Linked DNA regions of Arabidopsis thaliana. The protein of the gene in region 1 interacts with the protein of each later gene in a pairwise test. Each region holds a gene or a part of one and is shown in the gene's direction. Other genes may lie near its edges. The genes, in order: AT5G38620, AGL101, AGL78 and AGL89.

Region 1 (3,466 bases):
CTAATCCTATGAGTCCTAAACCTCTTGACATAAAATTTCAATGTACTCAAATGTTAAAAAGGGCAATTCAACAGTTCAGTCTCTTTGACAAATGAAGTATGCGGAAATCGAACATGAAAACCGATACAACGAATACTAAAACCTCTTGACATTAGAATAGTCGCCAGACGGTAATATACTACAAATTTGAAGTCTAAAATATGAAGTTAAGACGGTAATATACTACAAACTCTTAACATGTGAAGGAGATTGTTTGCTTACCTTCTCCATTGAAGAGTATGAGTCCAATCACCATCATCACTGGATGAACCTAAAAACAAAGACATTTGACATCATCAGATATATATCTACCAATGATGACATTATACATCCAAATATGAGTCTCAGATCATAGCTTGTGATCACACAGAAAAGTAAAATCCAAATTTCAATATCTCAACAACACAATCAAGAAATATGAATCTCAGATACAGCAACAAGAACATTTCATCCAATCCATTTCACATGTGAGTCAAAACAACAATCGAGAGAATTACATTAAAGATGTGATCTTTGTTATCAGAAGAAAGAGCTAAGCCTCCTCTGTAATGAACAGTCCATGTCAAAACCAAAGCCGCGATGATGAAACCCAAAACTCTCACTACCATGAAGATCGGAAATCCACCCAGCACCGGAACCGCCATACTAAGCCCAGAAAATGCGAGTCTTTTATACGGCGATCAAAATCAGGATGAATTAGGGCTAGGGTTTTAGTTTTTAGTCGAATTTTGGGGATTTCTGAATCACCCCCTGTGTTTTAGATCGGCAATTACTCGACTTTGAGTTTGAGGTCAACCAGAGTGATTTGCCAGAAATATTATTTTTATAAGATTTTTTAATTATTATTAGTAATTTGATTTAAGGGTAAAAAAATGGAGCTTTGTGTCACTCACAAAACTGATTAGAGTAAAGATCTTTTGTTTATGTCTACTTTGCCTATTTTTATTTTTATTTTGAGAGAATTACAATGACACACACCCATAGATTTTTATTTCAGAGGCAAAACAGTATTGATTAATATTGAATAGTAAAAAAGATGAAATTCTCCAAAAGTATCTCTTTGTTATGAAAAATAAAGAAAGTGTGGCAAAGTGTAAGTCTTCCGGTCGTTAACAATGTTTTCTTCTGCTACCATGTAAGCTTTGTTAACTTCATAATCACATTTTAAGAGTGATACTACATTGTTGATCTTGTGATTAGAAAGAATAAACACGATAATGTGAAGAACCAACTATATATTTGTTTGTGTCTCTCATAATAATCTGACAATTTTTTTTTTGTAGAATCTAAGAAAATAATTATAAAACAAAATAACTAAAAATATCGCTAAATAAATATGAATGATAAGAAAATAACTAAAAATTATCAAAATAAAAATAAATAAATTATCTAACGTTCTAATTAAATACTACACTAATAAATAAATACTAAATTTGTTTATAAAATTAATAGTAATATAAATAATTTGGAGGCAAAATTTAGTTATTTTATAAATTTTGTTTTTAAACTATTAAAAAGAGTCTTAGGTAATTCTTTTTTTGTTTTTTTTTGTTTTTGTGTGGCGAAGGTCCATAGAGCATAGTTGAAATTATATATCTATTCTTGTCCATCTTTGAATAATTTATCATCAATAATGTTATGCTTGTACATAAGCAAATAAGAAAGGATGAAAAAAAAAAAAAAAAGGGGATTCTGGTGGATGGTTAGGCTTAGCCCATATTACGGTCCATGTGGTTTAATCGGTTAAGGAGGATGATATGGGGTTTCGATATTTCCTTTTTCATATGAGATTCGATAGTCCCTTATATATATGAGACTGAGAGATAGAAGAAGCCTTCACTTCAATTATCTGAAAATTGAGAAAAAAATCAATCAGAATGGTGAAAGGCACGAAGAGAAAGATTGCGATTGAGACGATACAGAAGAGAGATTCCCTTAGGGTTACCTGCACCAAACGCCGTAAAGGTCTCTATAGCAAAGCCTCTCAGCTTTGTCTTCTCTCCGACGCACAAATCGCTATCTTAGCGACTCCTCCTTCTTCTGAATCCGACGTCTCTTTCTACTCTTTCGGTCACTCCTCTGTTGATGCCGTTGTCTCTGCTTTTCTCTCCGGAAAACGTCCTGTTTCGGCTCCGAAGGATAACAAAGAGACGAGGGAGGACGTTGGTATCTGTTTGACTCGCAAGAATCTAGGGTTAGGGTTTTGGTGGAATGACGAGAGCCTTGTGAGATCGGAGAATCCTCAAGAGATTAGTGAAGCGATCGGTTCCATGTGGACTCTGTTGAGTAATCTCAAGGAGTTGCGTGCGGATGAAGCTTGCGTTAACGATCACAAGGACTTGAAGAAGAATGAGAAGAGCGATGTTCACGGAACTCAAGATCAAACCCTAATTTTTCAGTCCGCTTCTGCAGTTTGTTGCATCCCTGAAAATCTCAACGATATTACTCAAGAGCCAAATCAAACCCTAGATATTCAGTCCAGTAGTTCTGCAATCTGTTGCGTCCCTGATAAATCACCTGAAATTTTCAATGAAATCACTGAAGAACAAGATCAGATTCTCTCGATTTGTGAAACTTTTTGTGTTACGGATAATAACAACAACAACAACAACAACGCTGCTTTACCTGAAGTTAACCTATATTACAATCAAGACATGGCTATTGATCAACTCATTGACTTCAACACCCCTTTTGAAAGCTCGATAGATGATTGGTTTTCGGACAACACTACTCATCAGGAGACGACTAGTGCAAGTATTTTGAACGATGTTGGTGTTGATGATCAAGTCTCGGTGGATACAAATCCGTTTTCTTATTTTCAAAGCCTTGAAGATGCAGATTTGGTGTTTCAGAGATGTTTGGATGGAGATAATCTACGATTCTCTGATTGTTTCAATGACTTTGCAAACACTATTGCAGCAGTTTGAAGATAATCTCTCTGCAGTTTTCAAATCAACTTCTCTTTGTTATCTGTATGTATTGATTCTATTAGAGATTTATTTGTTCTAGCAATGTAATGAATGATCTGGTTTGACCTCGATCAGTTTTCCATATATGTATGAGGGAAATTGATCGAACTCAAACTGGTTCTCTGCTTCATCAGTTTGGTTTAATGATAATATTTGTGTTCTGTTTCTATGTTTTGTATTTGTAGTTTTAAGTCCAACAAACTCATGTCTTTTTATAAATCTTAATCGGATAAAAAAAAAGGAAATGTCTTTAATTTATGGCAAAATTGGTAGCTAACCAATGAGTATGATAAGAGAATCAGGTGAAATTTCGATTATATACATAGAGTTAACCAACTGGTATGCAATTGTATCATTTACACATTCTACAAAGAAATTGCCACTGAATAAACTTCAGGTTCCTCTGTTTCATTCTTAAAGTCTCAGAGTGGGGACCAAGATCAACATGATACAAAGTG
Region 2 (2,858 bases), 5.9 Mb from region 1:
TCTTGATTCCAAACCTATAAGCCTAAACCAACCAGCATCATTTTCTCTTGTTCAGCCTAAAAAGAAAGTTTAGACACATTACCTTACTTGATGGAGGAGGTTGATTTTCAGTCCTTGATCCCTCAAATTTCTTCAGAAAGTTTCCTCCGACATGCTTAGTCTTCTTCGTTGTCTCCGAGAACTTTGAAAAAAGGTGGATCCGGTGGAAGTAGTAGTGGATCCGACGGAGGAAAGGGAGAGCGTGGCGTCGACAGCTATGAAGAAGATTAAGAAGGATGGAGATGAAGAAGTTAACCACGTCGTCGTTGAGAAATAAAAGCAAAACTAAAACTATTTATAGATTATAAGATGAAATTAAGGGTGAAATAGAGGTTGCAAGGCAACCCTAAATACCCTTATTGATGTCATTTTTTCGGGAGGATCTTTTCTCTCCCTCTTCTCTCTCTAATACCTTTCAGAGAGAAAATAGGTTCTCGACCTGATTTTGGGGGCTAGAGTTTTTATGGAGACTTATGTCACAATGTCGTTGGGCTCTGCGTCTGGCATCACTTGCGTATAAGCGGTGGAAGCTGTTTTTTCCGACATCGGTGGCTCTGTTTACCACTGTTGGCTGACACTTCCAGTACTGATTGGCTTCTTCTGCAACGGTGGCTGGTTATGTCTCCATCGATTCAGCCTCTGGCGATTCAGATGGCTAGTACTGGCTTTTGTCCGGATTTGTTTTTAGTCTTTCATTCTCTCGTTTCTCTTTAGCTTCAGTTATTTTGTGTTTGGACCGATGCTTTGGATTTGATTGAAGTTTTGTTCGTAGGTTTGAATGAAAGCAAGCCCCAAATAGCAAAATTTCCTTAACGATTGAAAACTTTTTGATTAAAGAAGAAGATGAAGAAGATTTACAGATTTGTATCAAGTGGAGTCATATTTGCAACAAAAGTCAATTGGAATTTCGCCTTGGTTTGTTTGGGCGAAGAAGATGAATAAGCTTTCCGGCGATTTCTGCTTAGAATGAAGCTTCCGACATCACAACAACTTTTCGATAATCGGAGACTCCCTCCTCCTCTTCAACTTCCCACATGTCTTCCAACTTGTTTCTCATTTGACACGTGTTTTATATGTTGTATACAAGTTTTTCCTTCAGTTTAGGGTTCTCTTATTTGAGCTTTTGGACTTATGATTTTTTTTACTTTAGTGTTTGTAAAATATTGGCATGTTACATTTGGCTTTGTATTATAATTAAAACACACTTGTAAAAAAAAAAAAAAAACTAATTGATGTTCATTACACTCATATATATATATAATGAATATACTTGCTAGAAACCTAAATACATGGGCTTTAGATGGGCTAGTAGATAGGAAATACATGGGCTTGTCAAGTTAAGGTAGAAGTCATCCACAATGCCACTTGCATTCAAGATTCTCTCACAAGTCTGAGGAAATGTTTTTACGAGGCTTTACGGGTTAACGCTGCTGGTGAAGAAAAGCAGAGTGATTACTAGGAAACAGAGCTTGAGGTTTGTTTCTGAAAGCGAGAATCCGGGTGCGATTCAAATTTATAGCCCTTAGCCAATTGCTTCATGTAGGCTTTTCTTGACAGCGAAGTTACCTCATCGACTTTAGCTTTTCTTCCTTCGGTTAGATCGTAGTGAGCATAGTCGAAATCCATGGCGGAACCTGTCCAAATTTTCCTTGGAAGCTCTCCGAGGAAGAAAGTGTTCTTGAAGTGGACACCAAGCTTTCATACATGTATCCATTATTATTACTAAACACGAAGAAAACAAAACGGATCTAACTGAATATACTCTGAAGATTATTAGAAGAAATTAGACAGAAACTAATCAAATGAAGCCTGCAGAGAAGAGAAGAGAAGAAAGCGTTAAAAGACTAATCAAATAAATTCAAGCAGAGAGTGAGAGAGCGGAGAGTATTGTTTCGTCGCTTGTGATTTGAGAGGAGGAGGAGTGATGGAGAAGGTTTACCAATGAGAGAACAGACCATGTTCAAGAAAGCCTTGGAGCTTTCAACTCTGTGCAACATCGAAGTCTGTGTCATATATTATGGTCGTGACGGAGAACTCTTCAAGACATGGCCGGAGGATGAATCCAAGGTTCGAGACATGGCAGAGAGGTTTACCAAACTAAACGAGAGAGAGCGACGGAAGAAAAGAACCAATCTTTCTCTGTTTCTACGTAAGAAGATCCTCGACGACAATAAGCTCTCAGGGAAAGTCTTAGAGATGAAGGATTCGTTAGAAAGGGGTCTACGGGTGCTACAAGATAAGCTTCTGTTACTACAACCCGAGAATCAGACCAAGTCCCTGACTCGTTCTGTTTCTAGTTTAGATTATGTGTTCGTTTAATTGTCTGATTAAGAGTTTCTGTTGAATTGTATGTTTTCCTAACTATGAATGCTATTTTCTCAATTCTATTTTTGTCTATGAGTCTTAAATTTGAGTTTGAATATACATTAGACATTGAATGTTAGATGTCCATAATTGATGCAGGTAAGACAACTAATTGAGTAATTGAGCAAGATATTCTGTGAAATTTTCGGTTCAATTTGTGAATGAACTCAATGGAGGAAAGCTTATAGAAGAGGATATGATAATCATATTACCTGACACTTTGATATGTCAGACGCTCTTGTAGCAGCTTCCGTCAAAAGTTGTTGTTAATACTTAATACTAATGTTTTGTCCAAGATGTGGAAAAAAAACTGACTTTGTTCAGTTGTTGGATTTAGATGCCAGTGAGTTCCCAGATTACAATGCCTTAGTGAGTTTTCTTGATAGGTCTTTAGTGTATCCGGAGGACTGAGAGTGAACAGTCTTGTGTCACGCGGTGGATAGATTCTGTGGTTA
Region 3 (3,474 bases), about 11 Mb from region 1:
GAGATAACTTTTCAGTTAAGTGAGATTTTTGCTCTGTTATGGAGCAGGAGAGTGTCGCTGATGAATAAGAAGAGGACGAAATGGAATTTTGCTGTGACGCCACGTCTTCAGAGTTCGAAACGACGATGTTTTGAAAGTAATCCAACATTTCGTAACTTAAGGATGTTTCCACGAGTGAAAAGCCATGAGGGTAATCTTGTTGGAACATCATATATAGCCTCTCTCTCTCTCAACCAAACGAGCACAAAAAGAAATGAAGGAGTTAATGCATAAAAGTTAATGGCTACGTTATCTTTTACACAAAGTAATGTTTATGCGTGTATTTATAATGGGGTCTTGTTGGTTTGTTTTAATTTATTAATCTTTGGAGGACTTTAATAATCAAATTTTCACGACGTTTATGTAAGAAATGAAGCCCTAGCTCTGAAGAGATCAACCATTTGATTAATTTTAACCCGATTTTACGCAATAAATTAAGAAACGAATGCAATAAATTCTTAATACTAAGATCAACAATTAGTTTATAACTTTATATTTTACCCGATTTTACGCTTTATATATCGTCATGAAATCTCTCATGTTTGACTAAGGGGTATTTTTTATACCATGGACTTTTTGCTCAAAACCTCAGTTACAAATAGAAATAAAAACTCTTACAATTGATGGAAAACAATCTATAGGGAGTTTATTTATTTATTGACTGCAATCAAATATACTATCAAATAAAGAAAATTGGATTATGAAATGAATCTAAAGGGATACTTCAGCAACAGATCCCACATAACATAATCCAATAAGAACGTTCAGAGATATACACAACAAATAAGAATGTTAACTTTCATGATCGCAAAACAAATCTTAATACTTTACCATTCAAGTAATATATTTAATGAGGCATAAACAATTTATATTTCTTTGTGATTGCCAATCACAATGTCGTTTTATATGATTGGTACATTTCATCTAACAAAGAAACGAGTCTATTTGTGAGTTGAAAATTCGTGATTTGTGGTTCACTATTGGATCGTCGTTATCAATCTGACATTAATTGTACCCTATTATATATATTGTTGTGTCTATAATAAGGCAAGCTGGTTACTACATTTGTCGACTTCCACATTCCCAATTATTGTGTATTTTCTTGACTAGCTAATACATATATAACAAGAATTAATCTTCCACAATATGAATTGTGATGCGTTTACAGTGGTAATTTTGCAATAAACAGAGTGAGTATATATATACCCTTCGAACATTTAGTTTTAATTATTTGAAGAGTGTTTTTATGTTAGTTATTTTTCACAACATTCTGATTGGAGAAACAATTTATAGATTTTTGAAAACCCTTAATTAACAACTATAACGTAAAAAAAAATTTGAAAAAAAAAGAAAAAAAAAAAGATAGAAGAAACCTAGAAATAAAATGAGTTGAAATCTTTCTTCAATTTTTTGAAAACCCTTAATTAACAATTAAGAGTTTTTTTCTTAGAGACAGATTTTCCTTTTTCCTCCAAGTTTTTGTTGCACAATTAATAATTACACAATCAAATCTATAGTATTTTTTTAATTAGATCTTAATTTTGTACAGCCTAAAATAAAGTACCATCGAGAAACTAATTAAAAGTTTCCTTTTTTTTTGGTCTCTACCATCGAGACATTAATTAAGGAAATCTACATTAGATATTGGAAATCGAATCGAATCGTAGGAGCGTAGATCTTCACGCCTCGCGATTAACAACGACGCGTCGCGTTTGCTTGTTCCCGTAGGCACCAAGGCATCTATATAAACATATTGAGTTCACAATGTTTCACCCTCAATTCGACAATACTTCTTCTTCGTGTGTTCTCTCTCTCGGAAAAAACCCTAGTTTCTTGCCGAATCAAGGCAAAGTCACGATGAAGCAAGCTTCTTCTTCTTCTTCGTCACGTAATTCAACAAGTTTAACAAATAGACTTAAAACCATCTTCAAGAAAGCTGAAGAGCTTTCGATTCTCTGTGCTATTGAGGTTTGCGTCATCTATTACGGACCAGACGGTGAACTGAGAACATGGCCTAAGGAGAGAGAGACAGTGAAAGACATGGCTTTGAGGTATAAAGAGGCCAGAAAACGCAAGAAGAGCCGCAATCTTCATGAGTTCCTCGAGAAGGAGAAGGACAAGGACAAGGGGAAGACGAATTTGAAGAAGAATTGGTATCCAAACTTTGATCATTACTCTCCTCAACAACTCTCTCAATTGATTCAGTCCTTAGAACGGACTCTTTCTACTCTGCAAGAAAGGCTTCGTATTGTTGAGGCGCAGAAACTACAGAACACAAACTTGGTGCATCAGAGTTTAACACCATCGTATCTGAACCAGACCCAACACTTGAATCCTAGCAAGTTCTCGCTGTTTATGTACAACCATGGAGATGCTACTCTCTCACAACTCCCACTGTCTGCTCCACACTCCAATCAACTCATCAATTACCAGAATCACTTGATGCAGCATGGTTTTGGTCAGAACATGTGTTCGGACAACATCACCAACAACAACTTTGAACATCCTGGCGTGTCAAACACACAAGACTACTCACCGTTACTTTCGGTACAAGCATCTGCAGTGAATAACTACGGGTTGAATAATCACTTGATGCAGCAACAGGATCAGCTTCATGGTTTTGATCAGAACATGTGTATGGTGAGTGAAATCATCAACAACAACAACGGTCTACAACATCCTAATCTCTCAAACACGGTTCCACATGAATTCTCTTCTGATTTCAACCAGAACCCTTATGGTAATGCGGTCGGTAACATTAGCTTCTCTCAAGACATGTTTTCAAGCTATGATGCGAGCAGTCTGCTACAGACATCTTCTCTGCCACCTCTCCACAACATTCCTAGCAGTTATTGTTTTCCTGGCAACTCAAGACTTCTCTGATAACAAAATCTGTCCAAAAGAATTTGTTTTTTTGAAGCTTCATTAAGAGTCAGTCAATAGTTAAGTAGCAAGCGGATCGGAGAGAGATTGAAGCTGTTTCTGCTTCCGATTTCTTCTGTTACTGTTTTTTTTAATATTTTATAGTGTCATTATAACTGCAAAACAAATCCATTTGTTTTTTTTTTTTGTTAAGAAAACAAATCCATTTGTGGAGATTTTGTTTTTACTTTTAAGTTGATACTTTTTTCAGTTAGTATTGACATATATATATGAACTTCCATAAAAAATCTTTCACAAAAACTTGCATGAAACAAATTATAATCTTAAAACCTTAATTCTTGCAACTTAGTATCCTTCTTGTCTGAATCAACTAATATATACAAGGAGATGGAGAGTGGATCTGAGTTCGTGAAGCCTCTAGACTTTTTGCAGAAGAAGAATCTCTGTGTAGTTTCTGAGTAATGGTATGAGGAAGAAGATAAAGATTGAGCTGATTGAATATCTGCAATTAAACTAGCCCTTGTGTTTTATCAAGAAAGTCGATATCACATT
Region 4 (2,928 bases), 5.7 Mb from region 1:
TTCACCTAATATGATTCACATGAGCAAATGGATCCGTATATTTTTTTGAAGCAGCTTTCTTGGTGGTCTTAGGTGGTTCTCCAAAAACATTCCAAAGCCTGAGAGTCTCGTCACCGGCTGCAGAAGCCACGGTACAACCATCCGGACTCTGTGCCATAAAAAGAACTCTTGATGTATGACCATTGAGTTCAGCCATTTTCACCATAGATGGGTACTTCCAAAGTGTAAGCTGGTTCTGTGTAAACCCATGTGAGCTAAGCAACTCTCTTTCACTTTTGCTCCATAACAATGAACAAACTTGAGAGCCAGTTTCTACTGAATTCAAGCAAGCCCCAGTGTGTGTATTCCAGAACTTAATCTTCCCATCACCTACACCACCACCAGTTGCAAGCAAACTCGCTTGGAAAGGGCACCAAGCAAGAGCTCTCACTGCAGCTGTATGTTCCTCAAACCTATGCAGCCATTGCCTAGTTGGGTTTGAGGAAGCGACAGAACGATGATCCCAAATGTGTACTACATTGTCGTTACCACCACTTGCTAGTTTTTTTCCAGATTCTGACCACTTAAGACCACAAACCTCTTCTGTGTGACCCAAGTAAGTTTCAACAATAGATGATCTGATCCTCACATCATTGTTGACGATCTTTCCATCCATTCCTCCAGTTGTTAGAATGTGATTGTTCCATGCCAATGATCCTACTCTTGACTCGTGACCACCTCTCAGTGTTCTCACTTGACGATTGGAAACACAATCCCAAAGCTGGACTTCACTGTTGTCAAGACCAATTGCCAGATCAAGACCATCTTGCGTCCAGTTAATACTTGTGACAGGTCCCTCCTCTTCATCAATGGTCACAAGCTTATATGTAGAACCACTAGACGCATCCCACAAGTAAACAGTGTCTCCCAAAGCAATGGCTAAGACATTAGAACTGCCCCAATCCAACAAGTTAAGGTAGAAGTCATCCGCAATTCCAGGTGCATCCAAGACTCTCTCACTATTCTGAGGAATGTATCTACGAGGCTTTACGGATATAGGTTGTTGGTGAGGAGGATCAGAGTGATTACTAGAAAGCAGAGCTTTAGGTTTGTTTCTGAAAGCGAGAATCCGAGTGCGATTCTGATTCATAGCCTCAGCCAATTGCGTCATGTAGGCTTTTCTTGATGCTGAAGTTACCTCATCGACATTACGTTTTCTTCCTTGGGTAAGAGCGTAGTTAGCAAAGTCGAAATCCATGGCCGATCTATTCGGTATGAATCTGTCGAAGTTTTCCTTGGAAAGTTTCCGACGGAGAAAGTGTTCTACAAGTGGACACGAAGCTTGTGCCTTTAAATGTGAAGAAGTGTTCATCATAACTGTGATTAGAAGAAGACTAAACGAAATATGACAAAGAGACAAATAAAACCTGCGAAGAAGGAAACGTAAAGTAGATTCAAAGCAGAGAGACAGAGAGCGAATAGCGAATAGTGAAGGAAGATTGTGGCAATTTTAGGGTTTTTTGCTTTCTTTAATTCATTACATAGAAATTGTCAATTACGTACAACGGTTAGATATTAGTAAAATGGAAATCGGATCTAATTCAGATTTCCGTTAAAAATAAATAAAAGATTTTCATTACAGTTACTGAAGAAAAATGAAATAAATATGGAAATCGAATTTAACAAATTCAATATAAACCCTAATCCCAATTCTCTGACTTTATTTTCTCTTTGCAAGAAACTAAAGCTTCTTTCTTTCACCGTGTAAACAACAACAATGGATTCTTCAATGTCGACGAAGAAGAAAACCAAATTGTCTGTGAGAAACCAAACTTGTTTCAAGAAATCGTCTCTTTCTTCTTCTTCTACTGCAAAAAAGACCACGAATTTGTCTATGAGAGAAGAGACCATGTTTAAGAAAGCCTTGGAGCTTTCAACTCTGTGCGACATCGAAGTCTGTGTCATATATTATGGTCGTGACGGAGAACTCATCAAGACATGGCCGGAAGATCAATCCAAGGTTCGAGACATGGCTGAGAGGTTTAGCAAACTACACGAGAGAGAGCGACGCAAGAAAAGAACAAACCTTTCTCTGTTTCTACGTAAAAAGATCCTCGACGACAATAAATTGTCGGAGAAAGTCTTAGAGATGAAGGATTCGCTAGAAAGTGGTCTACGGGTATTACAAGATAAGCTTCTGTTACTCCAACCCGAGAACCAGACCGAGCTAGGTCAGAGCCGTGCGGTTTCTTCCACAACGAATCCATTGTCTTCTCCTGAGGATCATCATCATCAACAATGGACAGAACCATTGGTGACTGGTGTGTCAAACACAGAGCAAGACCTATCGACGTCACCATTGAGTAACCATCAGAGCAAATATTCAGTCTTTGTCTATAACCATGACAGCGGAAGCTTCTATCAAGTCCCTGACTCGATCTGTTTCTAGTTTAGATTATGAGTTTTAATTGTCTGATTAAGAGTTTGTGTTGAATTGTATGTTTTTCCTAAGTATTATCATTATGAATGCTATTCTCAATTCAATTTTTGTCTGAGTCAATTAGTTGGCTTTGTTGGATTTAGAAGCCAATGGTGAATTTCCAGATTACAATGCCTTGTGATTTTCCGATTAAAATTCTTCCAAGCCCTAACAATGGAGATTTGTTCAAGAGATCTCCTAACTCTCCTCTATGGTTTGTTACACACACATCAATACATGCATAACTTGTGCAATAACCTTCTATCTATTTATATACAACTCACTAGACTCTCAAGCTAGTGGTTAAACAATCTGTTTCTTCTTGCTCTGTTTTCACGTGCCTTCTCTGCTTCTCTTTGCTTATTCACGAGCCTCAACGAATCCGTTTGAGCTACCACACGTGCCTCCTAGCTTATCATAGGTCTTTTGATTCATGTTTGTACAAGCTTAAGTAAAGTGTATCCGGAGGA

Evidence for each region.
Region 2: the proteins of AT5G38620 (region 1) and AGL101 interact in a two-hybrid assay, tested with the Arabidopsis thaliana proteins (one large-scale study listed by BioGRID).
Region 3: the proteins of AT5G38620 (region 1) and AGL78 interact in a two-hybrid assay, tested with the Arabidopsis thaliana proteins (one large-scale study listed by BioGRID).
Region 4: the proteins of AT5G38620 (region 1) and AGL89 interact in a two-hybrid assay, tested with the Arabidopsis thaliana proteins (one large-scale study listed by BioGRID).

What each region holds. Positions count from the first base shown.
Region 1 is NC_003076.8:15,463,358-15,466,823, reverse strand, and holds AT5G38620 (MADS-box transcription factor family protein), read left to right. Parts: upstream 1-1,916; coding exon 1,917-2,966; downstream 2,967-3,466. Other genes in the region: CYB-1 (cytochrome B561-1), read right to left, coding at 262-310, 537-683.
Region 2 is NC_003076.8:9,518,281-9,521,138, forward strand, and holds AGL101 (AGAMOUS-like 101), read left to right. Parts: upstream 1-1,995; coding exon 1,996-2,358; downstream 2,359-2,858.
Region 3 is NC_003076.8:26,108,430-26,111,903, forward strand, and holds AGL78 (AGAMOUS-like 78), read left to right. Parts: upstream 1-1,896; coding exon 1,897-2,922; 3' UTR 2,923-2,974; downstream 2,975-3,474. Other genes in the region: AT5G65320 (basic helix-loop-helix (bHLH) DNA-binding superfamily protein), read right to left, coding at 1-211.
Region 4 is NC_003076.8:9,734,895-9,737,822, forward strand, and holds AGL89 (AGAMOUS-like 89), read left to right. Parts: upstream 1-1,630; 5' UTR 1,631-1,756; coding exon 1,757-2,428; downstream 2,429-2,928. Other genes in the region: CDC20.5 (cell division cycle 20.2, cofactor of APC complex-like protein), read right to left, coding at 2-1,354.